Drosophila melanogaster: one gene and its partner. The protein of the gene in region 2 interacts with the protein of the main gene of each other region in a pairwise test. Each region holds a gene or a part of one and is shown on either strand. Other genes may lie near its edges.

Region 1 (8,065 bases), on a different chromosome or scaffold from region 2:
TTTACTTTCATTGATAAAATAACTTGAGGCAAAGATTTCCAAATGGATTGTACAGTAGTTTAAATTAGTTTCCATGGTCTTTACATTCTACATTGTTTTATAATTCATCAAAATAAAATGCGCCAATTTCCATTAATAAATAACACATCGTCCGACACATTTCGCACCCATTTTGAACAGCTACCATTTTAATTTATCACTCCGTTGAGTAAGCTGTCCGTAACCCCAATTTAAGCCCCCGGAATCCCTAGCGCCTCCAATATAAACTCGATACGCCTCGAATGGTATATCAAAAACATGTACACGAAAGTGGAGACCTATGCGTATATGGACATATATACGGCTGTGTGCGCAGGGCTTTGGGACAAGACTCGAATTTCTGGTTATTACCAATATCAGGGCCAATACAAATAGAGCAGGAAAACCCAAACACGATTCTATTCTATTATTTGGACAACTAAGCCCAGAGCAAACGACACATTGGTAACAAGTCCGTGACAAACGGACAGGGAGATGGGACGGCCTGGCCAGCGAGTTCCAATGCTAATCCCATCATGTCAATCACCGATCCAAACGCACACTCCACGTAGATCAGTCGCAGCCAAAAATCGACTTCATTTTTGACCCGTGCAGGAGCGGAGGAGGAAACTTTGGACGGGTGAACGGGAAGGGTAAATGTCATCGGCAAACAGCGATAGTGCTGATAAGGAAACCGAACCAAACATATTTCCACTGCAGCTAGTGGCCATTTTCGATGGCTTATCTTGGGACCGGGAACGGTACTGGTACTCGGAGCGGGACCCAGACCAAAATCGGACCACAAAGGTATCCCATCCGCGCCGGTGGAGCAGTACAACACTTTTCAGATGCGTCGGGAAAGCAATATAAATCCAAGCCCGCCATATATTCCTTCTCTCTCTCTCTCTCTCTCTCTTTTTCGATTATTTATGTGGCTAGATATAAATTTTCTGTGCATATTGACACATTAAATCTCAATGTGTCAGGTGGCATTAGTTTTTATGTCCCAACACGGGCAATGCTGAAAATCTACAGACAATCCCAGTAAGAACTCCTTGGGCCCCTAGATACATTTGGTTCTCCGGAGAAATTATAACGACAATAAATTACGGACAGCTAATAAGCAAAAATGTATTGCTAAGTGCGTTCAATGCAATGAGATGTTGGCCAATCGAAGGATCAAAGAATGAGGAGCCTTATTTGGGCAACATTGGATAACTGATACAATTGGTTGGATACTTTAGCCAACTTTGGCAAACCAGAATTGTTGGAACTATCCTTTTCTGAACTATGGACACTTAAATTTCTTGCCGTTTAATAATGATTGCATAGATTTGATCGTAAATGTCGCTATTTAGTTTTTATTGGAAGTAATACTAATTTTTATTGGTTTACGACCCTATATTGTTTTAATCAATATGCCCGTCGCAAACGCAGCGGAATCGCTTATCAACAACGCTTTTGACGTTTTAGATAACACGCAAAGAACTCTTTTTTTTTTTTTTTTTGTGGCCACGTTTCCATATCACTCGGCACATTATTGAAGCAACAGAAAATAGAACTCGCAGCCCCATGGGTTGGGTGGGGTTTTCAGGACTTATTGACAGGGCGGGCGTTTATTTGATTCCCCACGCTAGCTAATCTAATCGAAAAACCCGCCCGAACCACCAGCCATTGAAACAAAAGTACACGGCATCTGCATCCAGCGACAATCGTGGTTGCCGTTTTATTGCCACACCCCGAAAGCTGAAGTGGGCCTTCGACGTGCCCTGCCGCCACATGCCGCCACATGCCGCGCAGACAACGGAAAATGGACCTTTTATAATTCTATCAAAAATCACGAAGTGTTAGTCACAGCCCCCCTCTTCTCTTCTGTTGGAAAAGGCAGATTACTAATTATTACTCGATTTGGCGAGACCATCAATTCAAAGAAAATGCCAGAGAGATAATACCTGAGCAAAGTGTTGGCAAAAGGTGCTGCTGATCGCTCATAGTGGCTGTAAATAATATCTAACTTTATTTTTATATAATATTTATTCTTACTTAAATATTTGTGCTTTTTAGGCAAATGAAATACGGCAAGAATTACAATCAGTCGCGCGTCAGAAAGGTGACATTCAGACAGCGGAGGCTAAAGGGGGTTTTGAATAATAATAAATAAGGCAAACTTGAGTCGCCTTGTCGGCTTGATCAGCTGGATTAGCGGCCATAAACGCTAATTGCATGCCAACAGATTTTATGGGCTTAATGGATATCGGCGTTATTGTCGATATCGTCGATATCGTCGTCTTCATTTTCCCCTTCTTGACATGCGCCCGGGTCATAAATCGTGAACAAATGTGTGAGTGGTTTATTCCTTCTCATGTTTGAGATCGCTGCACTGCCATCTGAATTGCCTTTGCTTGTTTTTCCAGAGGTGTAGGAAAACACAGCAAACAAAACGCAAGAAATCCACATAATCACAGAAAATTTGCATGAACTGAGAGAAGAGAGTCGAATTGGGTATTATTCACTTATTATTCAGAATATTCACTATTTTTAGAAAATAGTGAAACCTTCAATTAGACACTCCACATAATGCTAATTGCTGTGAAATAGGTTCCGAACTCCCTAACTTTCCTAAGCCTTTACAGTCCAGTCCTCTACTCTGATGGACTTTCCATCAAATGCTGTCTGGTTATTGGTAAGTTGATCAAACCATTTTCAAATGCTTATAGTTGTTAAGTTGATTTACGATACAAAATTAGTCAATGGAATCGGAATCGAGACGGAGACAGAGTGGAGCAAACAAACAGAAACACTCATGTGGACGGTGAACACGGGGTGGCCATAAATCAAGGCGTCGGATCGGGGATCTCGCGACCCCAACTGAATATCATAAAAGTGAAGCTTGAACAGAATTTGATTTTTATGAGCTAATTGGCCATTTGGACTTGGATGCGCGCCAGGCAAACGGATTCTTATAAAAGCCCATATATGTACCGTGAGAGATGGACAGGGAAAAGCGCGAACAGCACGAGCTTGGCGGGAAGACAATGCAGTGCATTATGTGCTGGGCAATATGGAATCTTCGGGTTCGGAATGTAGCCAGGCGGATGCGGGAGAAACCCAAGCGCAGGGTACGCGGAATCGAAGGTCAGTGGAATGACTAAGTAGCTGAATACACAAAAATTCGGGTAATCGAGGTCTTTCGGACTAAAAGCCTTCGGTGAGTAAGATCTTATTTCACATTCGATTAAAAAAAAAAAACTCATACAAGCTAGTGACAATGGCAAGCATAGACCTTAACTTTGCAGTAAAAGCAGGTTATTAGCCTTACTCATAAAGTTATGAAGTAACCGATCATACCCCCTCATAAAACACTAAATCTGTATTTAATATATTCTTGGGTCTCTAAGGACTCACCTGGTTGTGGTTGTGCTGGATAGGCGGGCTTCTTCATCCAGTCGAAGTATGGCGGCTTCGATGGCGATGTCCTGTTGTTGTTGCTCACCGAATTGTTATTGTTGTTGTTGTTATGGGTGGATGGGCTATTGTTGTTGTTGTTGTTGTTGTTGTTGTTGTTGGCGACGGCACTCAAATGGTGTGCCAAGTGATGATGCGGCGACGAGGCAGAAGTCGGCGCCCCCGGGCTAGAGATTTCCGAGCCCGAAACGGTAATCGGTGGCGACGGCAGACCTTCGGCGATGTGCTGCTGATGGTTGGGTGGTGCGGAACCTGGTCCTCCATCGGTGGCCCCGCCAACACCACCGCCACCGCCTGCTCCTCCGACGCCGATGCTGCTGTTGGTCTCGTTGAGCTGGGGCGCACCCGGTGCACCACCGCTACTGCTGCTCCCGGAACTGGCGGAACTGCTGGAGGCATGGGCGTGATGATGGTGGTGCTGCTGCATCAGCTGGTGGGCCGACGTGGGCACATTCTGAACGAAGTTATCCGCCGTGCTCGAGGCGGGTGAGTGCCACTCCCCGGCAGAGGCCGCCGCCGCCGAGTGGAACATGTGATGGGAGTTGTAGTACATCTGGTGGGCAGCGGCCGCGTGGTGGGCGGCATGCGAGGAGTCCACATCGCCCAGGAACTGGTGGTTCGGCGGCGTGTGGTGGTAGTTGGGCGTCCAGTTCCATGGCTGGCCCGCCGCTGAGGCATAGGCCAAATTGGCGGCACTGTGCTTTTGTGTGTAGGGCAGTGTGTTGTAGTAGTGCGAAACCATTTTGAGGTTAGATTAGGTGCGCTTTCTCCGAAGATAGTCCCAGTGCTCGGTCCGGTGTCCAATAATCCGGCGTTAATCTCTAAGTCTTATCACTTTGATGGCCAATATGTTTTAGTTGCACATTTTCTGGAGTTTCAGTTTGGGTTATAATGGATATATTTTGCTTTGTCAATCTTTACAGTTATCACTGGCTGGTGATGTGTTTTTTGGGAGCACAGTAACATACGACCGAGATATCGATAATATTTCGAAACGCTATTTTTCAGCACTCACTCACGAGATGGATTTTTGTTTTGCAGGGCTAATCTACTAATTTGAAATGTTATTCCGTGCGTGGCGACGTCAACTCAGTATGCAGGTCGAACACGTACTGAAACGTAGAGCAAGACTCGACTGATAAAAAACTCAAAGCAGTGGAAAATCAGATAAACAGGCAGAGAGGCTCAAAAAAAACAACCACCGCAGTCGGCACTCACTAGTTGTCTCTTTCTAGCGCACGAGCAGTGCCTTTACTTGGGCGTTTTTAACCCTCATTTCCGTTGCTCGGTCGAAATTCAAGATGGCCTGAGTGCTTGACTACCGCTATCTCCGTCTGTCTGGTGCTCCGTCTCTTTCGCACCGGTCTGCGATGGCTGGCAGGCAGGTGGCCACGCCCCATTGAGCCAGGTATGCAGTTTGTCGTAATATCTTGGCCAAGAAAACCCCTTTTCCTTTATGGCCCGCTTTCGATTTGTATGTACTTTAATTGCAATTGCCGTTGGCTAATTAAGTAATTGCGGAGATGCGTGTGTATTATGCAATTAGTGGCTGTAAAATTATGTTGCCACGGTCGTAATAGTCGCGATATATGTACCTCTATCTGGGGAATAATCAATGTTTTATCCTCCGGATTTTATTCTCCATATCCATATACCGTGTTTGATCTGCACACACTTGATGTCCAGACTTTTGGTGTTTGCCAAGCAATCGCTGTTTATATGGGCGCCTCGATATTGTCAAAGCACTATTGTTCGGTTCTAGTTGTAAAGCTAATGCCATAATTGACATGTAAGCAGCGATAAAAATTCGCAGGGAACTCAAATATAGCGGAAGAAGTCTGGCATTGATAAGGTGCAAGATGTGATACAAGGGGCTTATGTAAAAAAAAAAGATGGTACTAAAAATGAGGTGATCTTTTGACGGATCTATCATTTAATGTAAATCGAAAGTTTCCAGCTTCATTACCAAAAATATGACTAATCAATTTAAATTCCCATGAGAACTTATTTTCGATCAAACTTCGCTGGAAGTTTAACAAATGGGTGGAATTGAAATATCGATTATTATTTCATAACGACTTTAGCAAAAGTGTTACCCATTTCGTGAAGCAAAAGGCAAAATTGGCCCAATACGGTAAAGAATTAATAATATCAATAAACCCATTTACAAAACCTCCTCACTAACATAAAAACTAATAATTGAACGCAATTTGAATAATAATAAATAAATTGATTTATTTATAATTTATGACAGACACGCGTGTGATCATAAGATTGCAAACGCGCCTAATTATTATAATATATTGGCAATATAACAAATTCCAAATATTCATATTGTGGCATTAATTATAAAACTATACATGTAATATACCCTAAGATTAGAATGTGAAATCATTGTCCAATTATTTTCAAACTATCTGACTATAATTTTTCCTTACACAAAGGAATATAATATATTCATTGGAATAAGGTATAGTTGGTTAAACATATTCCTGCCTCACAAATTCCAGGTCAGCTAACACCATTCTTATTAATTTTTCGCAAGAATTTCGATACCACACAGCTACTCCCAATTGTAATCCCTAAAAAGAACGCTAAGCTCGCGCCGATTGAGTAATCCCGAGATTCCAGAAATCCTCTCTAAATCTGTAAAAAATAAATTCATTGATTGCCGCGATGTTCGATGCTCGGTATGGGATCGTAAAACTGCAAACTGCAAATGTCGCGTCAAATAATTAGAAGTGAATGCAGCTGACACAATGGAGGATAACCGACATATCCCCGAAAAGGACTCGGCGGAACACGGGAACAGAAGCACACCGGGCAGTTGGCCTCGCGAGGGAGGTACTCAATACTCACTTATTAACGCTGAACTACCAAAAACTGGTTCGGGTTCGTTTGCAAACAAAAAACCCCTTAATGTCCGTAAGACAAAACATGTTGTAAAACAATCGAAGGCCCGCGCACAAAAGGTGATTTTATGATTACGCGAACGCGATCGCTTTCGCCATAACCATCGCCATTGCGACCCAAAGACCAGAATACAGAAACCAGGATGCGATCGTAGAGGTCGCACGGGAACGAGGACACCAAACAAGGCCTGTAAGGTGGTGCTGATGCGTTGACCTGCCCATCGATCGGCCCATAAAATTCACACAACAATTAGGCAGCCACAGCCCAGATTTGTTTTTTCCTCTTTTTCGCAAACCGTCAACAATTCGGTGGAATTTACTGCGTGGGCTGGGCCTGGAAGGGTACGACCCGTGGGCTCTATAAGGCTGGGCTCCTCGTCTCATCCCAGGCACGGGCAAGTCATGTAACACGCCGTTACCTGGAAGTCATTAGGGGCGCACAAAAAGGCTAATCCCTAAGTGATCTATGTAAACATATGGTAACTCCCCCTGGGCGGCAAATTCGAGATGAATCATGAATTTTGGTCGTACAAACGCAAGATTTGATAGAAGATTGTAATATTTTTTCATCAAATAGAAAGTGTTGATCAATTACAAACATAATACATAATATTATAATATACAAACGTTCCCCGACGATTAGTTGAATCGAAAGCAGAGAATCCATTTCGAATTGCCCTTCCGGCAATGAAAGATTTATTTCAATCTGTAAAACACTCTAATGCATCTCTATCTGGCCATCGTAAATTAGAATCTGTCCCCGCCATTGACATTAACAACCTGCTACGAATTCAATGGTATTTATACATATTCCCTCAATTATGTTAATAAATCCATAAAGAAAGCAAAGCAAGCGCCATAGCCCATAAAGCAGACTCCGAAATAAAACTCAAGGGGCAATCAGACCATTACAGATATGTCCAAGTTCCAGTCCCGATCTAACAACCTATATCTGTGGCTTGGTGGAGCGTCGACGCCAGACGGATTTGAGTGTGGATGGATGGATATGTATGGATGGTAGACGTATCATTGTCGTGCGGCATTCGCTGTTTGTCGGTTCGTTTAACGTTTTTGAGAGTTTTACGGCCGTTTGCCGGGCCAAACCCCTCCAGAAACCCCTTCCGCCCACCCGCAACCCCCAGCCGATCCCGCAGCAAGTGCATTTTGCGTTGTACGAGCCGAGCAACCGCCTCCTTCGCCGTCGCAATCAAGCACCTTTATGGGTGCCGCGACATTGGCGATAAAATATCTTTGTTAATAAAACAAATTAGAGTGGAGAAGAACAACAAAAGGCGGCAAGTCACACATGGGTGGAAAGCCCAAATTGCTTTCGGATTCGCAGCCAAGCCTTCTTGTGGAATATTCCAGGATTATTGCCAATCAATTGGTTGAGAAGCAGTTGATTTGGTAGTTTTATTTTCAATATACCGTCATTGTCGAAAAATAGACATTTATTAACAATGTTATGTATAGCGCGGATTAAAATAGGATTTTAAGGTAAACAAGTTCAAAAAAGTTTCGCTTAAAAACAAATTAAATACAAAAGGAATTTTGCTTTGATATAAATCTCGCCTCTGCTCTACTGAGTGCCTCGAAAACGAAGTGCACAGCAAAATGATTGGAACATGCCACAGTAAAATAGGAATACAGTATGTAAAGACCACAAGATA
Region 2 (10,773 bases):
CAATCCCTGTCCCTGGAGTGCCGTGGTCAGCGTTTGCGTGTCATTCAGCTCACGCAGCACATCATCGCTGTAGATGTTGCCCTGGAACAGGGACTTGGTCTTCTCGTACGCACTCTGATGGCTCTTCAGGAGGCGTCGCTCCAGATAGCTCCTCAGATCACAGCTGCCACTCTGCAGTAGCTTCACACGCGCCCACGGCGAACTGAACTCGTTGCTGTTGGTGGACGAGGCGCCCTCCACCAGGGTCCACATGGTCAGCAGGCCGGAGTCATTCAGCGAGGCGTACTGTCAAAGGATTGCATATATAATTAATTATATGTATTCATATAGATCTTTACATAGAATTTATAAATGAATACTACAATAAAACCTACCTGAACTTCCTTGTACGTCGTCTGCAAACCACTAGTCGCAGCTACTCCTCCAGCATTCAAGTGTGATCTAAAGCTGCGCACATCCACCACAGCGCCCAGATCCATGGCATTTACCTCCTTGTCCTGTTGCTCCGGCATGGGAACCACCGATTGTGTGGCTGCAAAATGGGTTAGGTGGCCATCCAACTTGGAGCAGTAGCTGTGCGTCTCGCGCAAATCCCACATAGCCACACTACCATCTCTCAGTCCGGCCACCACGATATCCTGGGCCTGCGCAGATAGTGCCACACGGCTGACTTCCGCCCAGGTGGAGAGCAGGCGCAACGGCTGGCTGGGATTGGCCAGTGACCACACCATCAGAAGGCTGGCAAAGTCCTCCTTATATACATTGCTGTCCGCAGGACACTCGTGCACGGTGACCACCAGTTGTCCATTTCCGGCACTTCCAAAGATTCGACGCACAGGCAGTGCGTTCAGCAGTCCCGTCTGAAGTGGTACATTTCGAGGACTATTCCCCTGGCCGTGGGCCGTGGTTTTGCCCTCCAAAACCAGTCCCATAAGTCTGCCGGCCCTGTGAAGAAACGAATTCAGTCGCTCCAGATCCGTGCTCTTGGCCAATCTCTTTTGCTGCAGTTGCTGGGAGCGTGCCTGCTCCAGGCGATGCAGTTGCTCCAATCGAGAAATGCTAGCTTCGTATTCATCTGCAGGTTGCTTGCTCCATGTTTCATCCAACTCCGCATCGACACTGCAGCTGAGAACGAATTGCCCACCATAGTGGGGTGGATGTTGGGTCCAGCTGCTACGACTGTGCACCTCCAGCGTCTGGCACTCGCCGTCCATGTGTGGTGACTGCGTCTGTGTGGCCACTTGACTGGCATTCAGCTTCCCATAGCTCTGCATGAATCCCTCGTAGCTGAGGGGCTTCATCTCGAACAGGTGGTAGTTCAGTTGATCGAAACGCAATTTGGCCATTAGCTCTTCGCCGCGACGACTGATCACGGGATGGGAAACGAATCCCGAGTAGCCACCATAGTACACGTTAGCCTCTCCACTCCGGGGCTTCTCCACGCCAGTGGTGCTAATGCCCGAGTCCAGTTGCTCTGAGTTGGCCATCGAGTTGGTATCAAAGCTATCATACTGATTCTGCGTGGACAGACTGCTCAAGGGATTCCTGCGCAAATGCATGTCATAATGACCGGAGTCCAATTTCCGCTCTTGATCCTTGTCGCGTTGGATCACAGTGATGGGATTTTGGGTGGGCTCCGAATCCTCTTCCTCCCGCTCCTCCTCCACTTCCGCCTCGGAGGATGAGGGCTCCTGCGCTTCATCGGATTCCACCTCGTCGGGCGTGCTGGCATCGGTTTCGAAATCCGATTCATAGGATTCGAAGTCATCGGAGTAGTGATCGGATTCCGGTTCTGGCTTTTTGGCTTCATCGAATTTGACTTCAAAGGCCACTGGCTGTTTCACAGGCTCTGATTCCTTGGCCTCCACTTCGCTTCTTTGCTTGGCGGATTCACGCTTAAGGATAACCACTTCCTCGGGATCCAAGGTGCGTGTATAAGTTCTGGATCTTGCCGGAACAATACGAGCATCTCCCTTGGAAGGAGACTGTGGCTTGTGCTCCTTTTGAGTCTGTGCAACAGGGGAATATTCTTTTGATGAAGGCGTGGGCGATTCCTTCTCCTGCTCCGCCTGTCCTCTGCGCTTTTGCGGTGGCGAGGCGACCGTAACACTGTGATACGTGTCCAGAACTGCATTGGGCTTCGATTTGGCCACGAGCTTCGTGGTCTTGGTGGTCTTGGACTGCAGGGGTGGGTTTGTGGTCGTGGTTGTGTGTCTGGTGGTGGCACGCAATGCACCTGGGGACGGAGTGGTCCTCTTGCTCAAGGACTCCCTTTCCTTGTTTTTCCCCGTGGCTAATGGCTTTTTGCTGGCGGTCGTAGGTTGCGCTGCTGTTGTGGTTTTCCTCGCAATTTTTTCACCTTCCAAGCTATCCGGTTGTTTGGCCAGTGACCTCCGCTCCTTCGATTCCCTTGTGGTGGCCGGTCCACTTGTTGCTGGTGATTTAGTGACCTTCCTTGGCACTTCCGTTTTGACCTGCAATTCGAAAAGATTTTTGAAATCATAACGTCTTGTCGGGGTGCTCAGCACTATTTCTTAGCATTTTACAACACTGACCCAATCTTAACATATTGTTTTTTTTTTTGTGTGGCGATCGGTTCGTTTATTAGTTTTAATTGAATGCTATTCCATATGTGCTGCGCTATTAAAATGCTAATGTGTGTGCTATTGGGCAATAAGGCTTTAATTGCCATTAACTCGAAAACTAAGCTGCTAATCTAACTGTGCGACAGGTGTAAATGTTAAAAAGTTCGTTGGTTTGGTTTTTGTGAGCGAGTGAAATGCAAATTTGCTGTGCAAATAAGTGAAATCGCTGTTGGCTGCCAATCAATGGAAAGGTGTACTATATATTTGTGCTTTTGATATATATGTATATATTCTTCGTTTCAAGTGCCTTTCTTTGGGCTTACGTTTTTGCTGCTGGTTCGCCCCGCATTTTTTGACATTTTAGAAGGAATAAATGCTGTTTAAAGTGCTTAATTAAGCTGCGAATTAATAGAAGTAAATGCCGTATGCCACGTAAATTTAATCAATCGTAATGCAGCTCAGTTGTGACATTTTTTCCTGTTTCCCTGGCAACCAAATCCTTGTACATAGCAACAACAAAGAGGCCAGCAATAACACAATCAGCTGATCCGACAGTGCTGAAAAGGGCTGGCATGTTTAAATGCAACTGGTAGGTATTATTAAAAAATGTTTCATTAAATTTAGTTATTTGTTTGCAACGTTTGCAGTGTTATGCTTTAATTAGGAGCATAGAGCTCTGAGCTTATTAAATGCATTTTAAACTTCAACAACTTTTAATTAGCTAATGTTATCGATTGCCCATCCGATATTTTTCTATCGACACTAGCCGCTCTTTTTGAAATTCAAAAAGTCCGTTTGGGTGATAAAGCTCGTTTTGAAGCCATTGTTGTTCTTAACTTAAGTTTAGCGTAATATCACAATAAATAAGATTAGTGTTGAGCTCGGGTCTAGCCAAACGGCTGACCCACTACAAATAATAAGCAGACAAGCAATATCCATAAGTTATGACTGGATTTCATGGCTCCACTCTCGTCGAAATTCCTGTAGTACTGGGTATTGGCATACCGATCGTAGATGTGCTCCATCACCCGCTTGGCATTGTCGCGGTGCAGCTCCTGGAGGCCCAGTAGGCCATCGGTGTCGTCACGGAACAACACATTGTTCCTTTTATCGAAGATGCCGTATAGGGTAAATGGACGCGTCTCACTCTTGTACTTTCTACCAAACAACTGATCCATATCGCGCAAAGAGTTATATATCTCATTGCGTCGCGTCAGCGAAGAGTTGTGCGTCATCAGGTGGCCACGGGTGGTCCAATGCAGGTAGCAGTACTCGAAGTTGGAGCGCTTCTCAATGCCACCGTATGGGCACAACACCCGGAAATCCTTGTGATTTCCAGGAGTCAACCAATTTGAGGTGAGATTGCCGACGACATACTTCTTGTACACATCCGAGCTGAGGAAGGCCACATCGGCGCCCTCGGAAAGGCAACGCAGAGCACCTTCGTCGCCCTGGTAGTGAAGAGGACACTTGCGTCCGCTCTGTAGATTCCACAAACAGGAGTCGCGGTGGAAGTAGGAGTGCAGCGATTGCACCTTGCCAGTCGCATTCACAATAGTCTCCTGAACGGACAAATGCGCAGCTCCCTCGAAGGATGGCAAGCAGGCTCTGGCTCCTTTGAGATCCCTAAAGCTCTCGAACTTGGCATCCTTGTGTACGAGTGCAATAGTCACATACCGATCATGCATATCCGCTGCGAACTCGTATAGCAATGGCACTAGATTGTAATCCCGCTGAGCTTTCACGCGCATTTCCTGATCCACCAACACCACATCTGTCTCCTTGAACTTGGTATTATCCAGGCACTGTTGCTCATCCATGGTGCGGACGCACTGAATGTTCGGTTGCACACCATAAACTTGAGAAGCCTCCTGCAGCCAGGAGCACTTGATGTGCTGGATGATGGACGTGGTGCAGAATACAATGGAACGCGGTGGATTGCATTCCGGGAAGCTGTAGGCGGACTGGAATGCGGTGGCCTGGTCCAGATAGTCATCAATAGCTATCACATTATCCAGTGGCACAGTGAAAACGTGATATGTCTCCAGCAGGCTAAGCAGCGCATTCTGCCAACTATCTGGCTCATCATGATTGAGTCCAGTGACGAGACGCTGCACTTGAGCGGCATGGCTGCGACGGGCAGCCACCACGGGCCACGGCTTGGCCACCCAGACACATGGTTGACTGGCGTTCAATGGCTGCAGATGACCATCCGGGCAGAGATAGCTGAAGTCCGAGGGATTCGACTGGGCCGGAATGCCAGAGAACTAAAAGAAATAGTCAAAGAAGGTTATTCACAAATATTTGTGCGCAAAGATTGTATGCCTCAAACTCACACCAAAATGACTGCGCACATCATCCAGACGAGCCCAGGCCACATTCCCGCCACCACTGGTCAGGCAATAGAGAGCTCCGCGGCGTCCCCAATGCTTGTCGGTCTGGTCACAGCTATCCGGTTCGTAGCACATCTCGCACAGCGAGGGATATCGGTTCTTTAGGATGCGATCCTGCTTGGGATCGGGCACCCAAGGACCAGCCTTGCAACTGGGACCAAAGTACTTGGCTGTGGATGCTATCCGATCCTCCGTGACGGTCATTTCGGGATCACAAGTCTTCGAGACCATGGCAGCTTCAAAGTACTGTAAAGAAGTCGTATATACAATCAAAATTGGAGTACTTTTATAAGATATCCATTGAGGTGACCTACATTAGCCAGGACCTCCGTCCAGTGATTGCCCAGACCGTAGCCAGGATGGCACAGCCTTGCACCTCGAAGATCATGAACAGTATGGATATTGGCGTGGTTGTCCACCACCGCCACAATTTCGTACTCAAAGTGCGACTCATGGGAGCGCAACTCGCTGGCCACCAGGATCTCAACGCTGGCCCAGCGTGCGGCCACCAGATCCTCCGAGGTGAGCACTCCAAAGTGGGCGGTGCCCTTGTGGATACGCCTCACGCAATCCAATCGATCCACGCCGATGACGCACTCGATGTTGCTCTTCGCCTCCAGCAGCGGACAGAACTTGGGGGTTTTCCGATAAACGCCACGCGATTCCACCACACAAACACGCACTGCGGAAGGAGGAGGAGAAGCAAGTAAATCTTTGCATAAAGTTTGGACATCTGCTTAGTATACGATCGGCGAAAAACCAGTCGCTAGCCGCCGCATTAATAATGATTTTGTTTATTTTGAAGTATCTTTCGCATGCAGTTTTTCGGAAAAGATATTATCTTTGAGCTGGGTATTTCACTTGTCTGTTTTAAATTAAAAATTCCCCTCAGGTAACGCAGTTGTCGGGGAAAACCTGATTAAGTGCGCTGCATTCGCAGAATTCGCTTAATGGTGCAAAACTGGGTACAAGTCAGTTCTGCCCGGACGCTTTTTGGGCAGTGGATCACGAGCTCCAAGGTCGGGACAGGTTTTGGAACGGCTGTCTCTAGCGGATTTTGATTACACCCGGTGGAGTGGCAAGGTCGTCTGCTCTCTCGCAGTGCATTTCGATTAAAAGATACATGATGATTGGTGGTTTTTGAAACGGTTTTTATGTGTAGGAATTGTAATAAAAAGTTTAGTTTTACTCTCGACCACTTTTTAGATTGACTAACATTGTTGCTTGAGAAGTTATCATATATATTTGAAATGTAAACAGCTGCTGTCGGCCTTTACAGCATCATATTTCATAGTTTAATGGCTTAAATGATTGGTAAACAAACATAACTTCAGCAGAATTTAGTTGCATGTTCAAAATTAACATATTAAGTGCAACTTTAGACTTGCTTATGATTAAGATACATCTTAATTACAATCACAAGCTCATGTATCACTTATCGCCAACAGTTCGTCTACTAATTTACGCAGTTTGCATGCTTTTTATTAATATATTTCCAGACACAAGGCAATACGCCCCTCATCTTTGATTGACTTACATTTTCCATCATCGGGCGGCTGCACAGCCACGCACATCGATATTGATAAGAACGAGGCAAACAGCCCCACCAAAATAAGTGTAAGCCACTGCATTCTGAGCTTCGATTGCGTCAACTGCTTGTTAATTGTCAATTCACTCACTGAAGATCGTCTAACAGTCGAGATTAGGTTAGTTAATCAATGACTAGTTGGCTTCAAGCCCGAACCGCTCGCATTGGAAGATCGACGGCAACTGAAGGCAGCCCTCTCCCAGATGCCAGCGAGTAAAACCTGATCCGAGCAATCCGTAAGCTCCGGCTGCAGAACGAGATCGCCAGTAAATAAATAATAAATGGAATACAAAGCAGCTACGCACAGCTGATGATGAGTCAGGCGGGGTTTTTTGGATAGCTCTCTGATTGATTAGTATCTTTTTGCGTGAGAATCTAAGCGGGGATCACCTATATAAAAAAAAAAACATTAATCCTATCTATACATTAAGCAGCTGTCCAGTCCAGCGCTTTATCAATTATGTTTGTATATACCAAACATATGATTAACGAACGCCTTATCGGCCAACTTGACTTATCAGTTTCCATGCGAACTGCATGCCTTTCGGCATTATTTGCTTGCCTCAGTCTCTGACCGCAGCTCTTGGCGTCCATATACTCAACTTGATCTCTGGGAAATCGTCACTTGTGGGTGGATTTTAATCGCGTGAACCTAATTGCTCGACAGATAATCAATATACTTAATTAACACTATATGCACTATACACGTTTCGTGCAATTTCATTGTATTCAAAGCATTTGCTCATCACAACTTAACGTAGTCAAGTGAAGCATTTCTATGGCTTCCCGGTTATAACTTGAGTTAGCATCATTCACGCACCTTGGGTTTTTTTTTTCTTCTCGTAACTCCCCTGTTATTTCTAGGGATTTCTAAATTGTGTTTGATTAATGATCAATCTACGAAAGTTATTTCGGCTTTGGCAAAAGAGCAATTTTTTTCTGTGTCAAGTTAACAAGTGATTTGGTACCGCAAACCGGTTTTTATCTACAAAGTATAAAAAAAATATCGCAAGTTATATGAAAATTACTAATTGAGTTGGTTGGTACAAGTGGGGGGGGGGGGGGAATCTTGGACATGCCTCAAGGGCATATTTATTATGGCAGGCCCTAAAATCTTTATCGCACATACGGTCTTAATTTTCCAACAAAATCTAACGACTTTGGTGCGAAAAGATAAGATTCGTTGTTCCGGAGTGTTATGCTCCCTCCCTTTGGCTATCTCAATAGAACTTTTATGCAGACGATTACAGACTGCTATATAGTCTGGACTAGCATCTTATCGCGATGTGATTAGATATAGTTTAGCATTCTCTGATTTACATCCATATCGCTGTGACTATTTAAACACTCTATCCACCAGACGACAGATTCCCTAAGAACGTCGAACGGCGAAGTCGAAGACGTGCGAAAAATTATGATCTTATCTGGGTAGGAACCACATCTCACCCGGCATAACCAGAGGATTGCATGGATATATCCGAACTGTGATACACTAGCCATAATTTTACAGACTGCACAATGGTGCGATTAAACAGGCGCCTGCTGCCCATCAAGGCACATTTCTTCTTTTTCATGGCGGGTGAGTGTAAAGTTATAACTTAACAATCCAAAATTAAAGCCGATTTCGCACTTCGTGAGATTCTTTCGTATCAAAATGTTCTTATCGCTGACATTATCGAATATATGATGTGAGAATCTGCTGCAATTATAGAAAGATTTCTTGGAAATTATTGTAGTTTATAAACTCATGTGCACATTGTCAACTTTTAGCCATGGGACCCATATTGCCACAATTGTCGGTGATCGGCAAGCAGATCGGTGTTCCACCGGATGTTATGGGCTATATTACGGCCGCCTTGCCCCTACTTTATGTTTTAGCCAAACCCTTGGTGGGTTTCCTAGCCGATTATTTCACGGTGAGCTTGATATGCCTAGTAACTATTAATATAAATACTAAACTATAATCTTTGTTGCAGAGCCTGCGCAAGTTCATCTTCATCTCCCTTATCCTCATCATGACACTGGCCTTCGCCGGCTTCTATTTCCTGCCCGACAACTCACATTTCATTCCATTGGACGAGGGAAGTGCCCAATGGAATGTAACGTTATTGACGAATCCAAACGATTGCAATACCATTATCCAATCCTCCAACGCATTTTGTCAAACCACTCATCAGGCAAAATGCATTCAGGAAGAAAAGGAAGTAGGCGAATTCTCCGCTCTAATTGTTGCCAACGAGTCGGGCCTCAATCTCAACCAGAATCTGCTTCATGGCAACGAGAGTTATCACATCTGTCTCACGCAACCAGCAGCCATCGATTGGAACAGTGCATCCTGCGAGGTGCGACACGTAAATAGCTGCATCTATGGTGCTGGCAAGTTCTGGCTGTTCGTATGCCTGCTCTGCATTGGAATCGTTGGCTTCAACGTGACAAACTCCATATCCGATGCCTGTTGCTTTGACCTTCTGGGCGATGAGGAGCAGGAAAAGTACGGAGCACAACGAGTGTGGGGCACCATTGGTTTTGGAGCCACTGCCATGCTAGCCGGAATCGTAGTGAACTGGTGGACCACGGATGCGGTCAAAAGTCTGACGCCTGCCTTGATCATCATGTGCGTGTTCAGTTTGCTCGATCTGTTCAGTGTGTCCAAGCTGAAGCTGCCGAAACTGGGTGGTTCCGAGTCCATCTGGAGCGATGTTTGGCAATTGGTGCGCAAGCCACCCATTCTGGTCTTTCTGTTCTTCGCCACAATGGCTGGCATCATTGACTCCTTCATCATATACTTTATGTTCTGGCACTTGGAGCAGGTGGCCGAGGCCACTGGTTACATGCATCAGATCAAGTTGATCGAAGGTCTAGTGGTGGCCGCCGAGTGTCTGGCCGGCGAGGTGCCCTTTTTCTTCTACAGCGGAAAGATTATCAAAAAACTGGGCTATGTTCATTGCATGAGCATGTGCTTTTTCTTCTACGCTGTGCGACTGTCGCTGATCGCCTGGATTCCCAATCCCTGGTATCTGGTGGGCGTGGAGCTCTTTTTCCAGGGCATTACCTATGCTCTGTGCTATACGTGCATTGTGGCCTACGCCTCGGCGGTGGCTCCTCCGGGAACATCGGCCACCGTTCAAGGATTGATGGCCGGCATGGACGATGGACTTGGCTTCTCCATCGGATCCCTAATCGGCGGACTTATGTTCAAAAGCCTGGGCGGACGAGAGAGCTTCAAATACTTTGCCATAGCCGCCATTTGCACATGCGTAGCACACATCGTTATACGTCCCACATCCAGGAAGAGGCAATTCCTGCCGAGACAGGGATATGTGCCGCCAACGGAACAGGAGATCAAGCAGCCGCCCGCTCAGGAAATGGAGGAGATTCGTTTGGGATAAACATAGTATCAACACATGCCATTTTTATTGCATATTTTTGTACTAATTTTTTACGTTAAACAAAAACAAAGAAAGAACGACAAGTTGTCCAAAAGTTGAATGACTTTGCTCTCTCGGGGTTTTTGTTCGATTGTTGGCGCACACGCGATCTCAAGTGCTCCGGCCCCTCCAGCTGTCAACATGGTTATATAATACCTGAGCATCGCACAAAAGAACCCATTGAAAGTGAATCTGGGGCCAGGCAGATGCCTCGCTTAAATGGCGAGCGATTCCCACTCCATATATTAACGAAACTGGCCCGATCGGCCTGTTTCAATGATCGAGAATTGAAAGTCTGACACTCATCTGCATGTTTGGGATTTAAGTTAAGTTAGAGAATTGTAGTTTTAGTTCTACACCCTAAAATAACCATATATCTACTGATTTCTCAGAGCAATAGCCTTTCCGAAATAGCTCCAACAAAATAAAAGAATTGGAGATGGTTATGACTTCCAATCTTTGTCGCCTAGTGTTGATAATTTATGCTCGAGTGTGGGCCACACTTCAGAGCTGTCCAAATGAGTGCTTGTAAAAATTAGATTGGGCCAAGTTGTGCTCCGAATCTCGCAGCAAACTGGATGGCTATATAAGCCACGAGTTACCATTAGAAGCCTGCATTGTTTCTGGAAGATGTGGCCCATTTGGCTGCTGGTGCTCTTAACGCTATCACTGGCCACTGGCCGCCAGGTGGGCAGATGCAGTTTGGCCCGGCAGCTGTATCGATACGGAATGGCTTACAACGAGCTACCCGATTGGCTGTGCCTCGTGGAGGGCGAGAG

What was found.
Region 1: the proteins of CG15706 (region 2) and cad interact in a two-hybrid assay, tested with the Drosophila melanogaster proteins (one large-scale study listed by BioGRID).

Annotation. Positions count from the first base shown.
Region 1 is NT_033779.5:20,767,268-20,775,332, reverse strand, and holds the start of cad (caudal), read right to left. Parts: upstream 4,603-8,065; 5' UTR 4,226-4,602; coding exon 3,424-4,225; intron 1-3,423. UniProt on the Drosophila melanogaster protein: Caudal (cad) is one of a number of transcription factors controlling segmentation of the embryo.
Region 2 is NT_033778.4:16,222,479-16,233,251, reverse strand, and holds CG15706 (uncharacterized protein), read left to right. Parts: upstream 1-2,571; 5' UTR 2,572-2,908; coding exon of another isoform or gene 2,909-2,944; 5' UTR 2,945-3,174; intron 3,175-3,382; exon of another isoform or gene 3,383-3,472; coding exon of another isoform or gene 3,473-4,852; intron 4,853-4,921; coding exon of another isoform or gene 4,922-5,224; intron 5,225-5,292; coding exon of another isoform or gene 5,293-5,660; intron 5,661-6,447; exon of another isoform or gene 6,448-6,515; coding exon of another isoform or gene 6,516-6,609; exon of another isoform or gene 6,610-6,751; intron 6,752-6,999; exon of another isoform or gene 7,000-7,193; intron 7,194-7,925; exon of another isoform or gene 7,926-7,926; 5' UTR 7,927-8,084; coding exon 8,085-8,145; intron 8,146-8,336; coding exon 8,337-8,482; intron 8,483-8,542; coding exon 8,543-9,955; 3' UTR 9,956-10,034; downstream 10,035-10,773. Other genes in the region: CG15701 (uncharacterized protein), read right to left, coding at 1-285, 375-2,474, 2,909-2,944; Tsf3 (transferrin 3), read right to left, coding at 3,473-4,852, 4,922-5,224, 5,293-5,660, 6,516-6,609; CG7798 (uncharacterized protein), read left to right, coding at 10,625-10,773.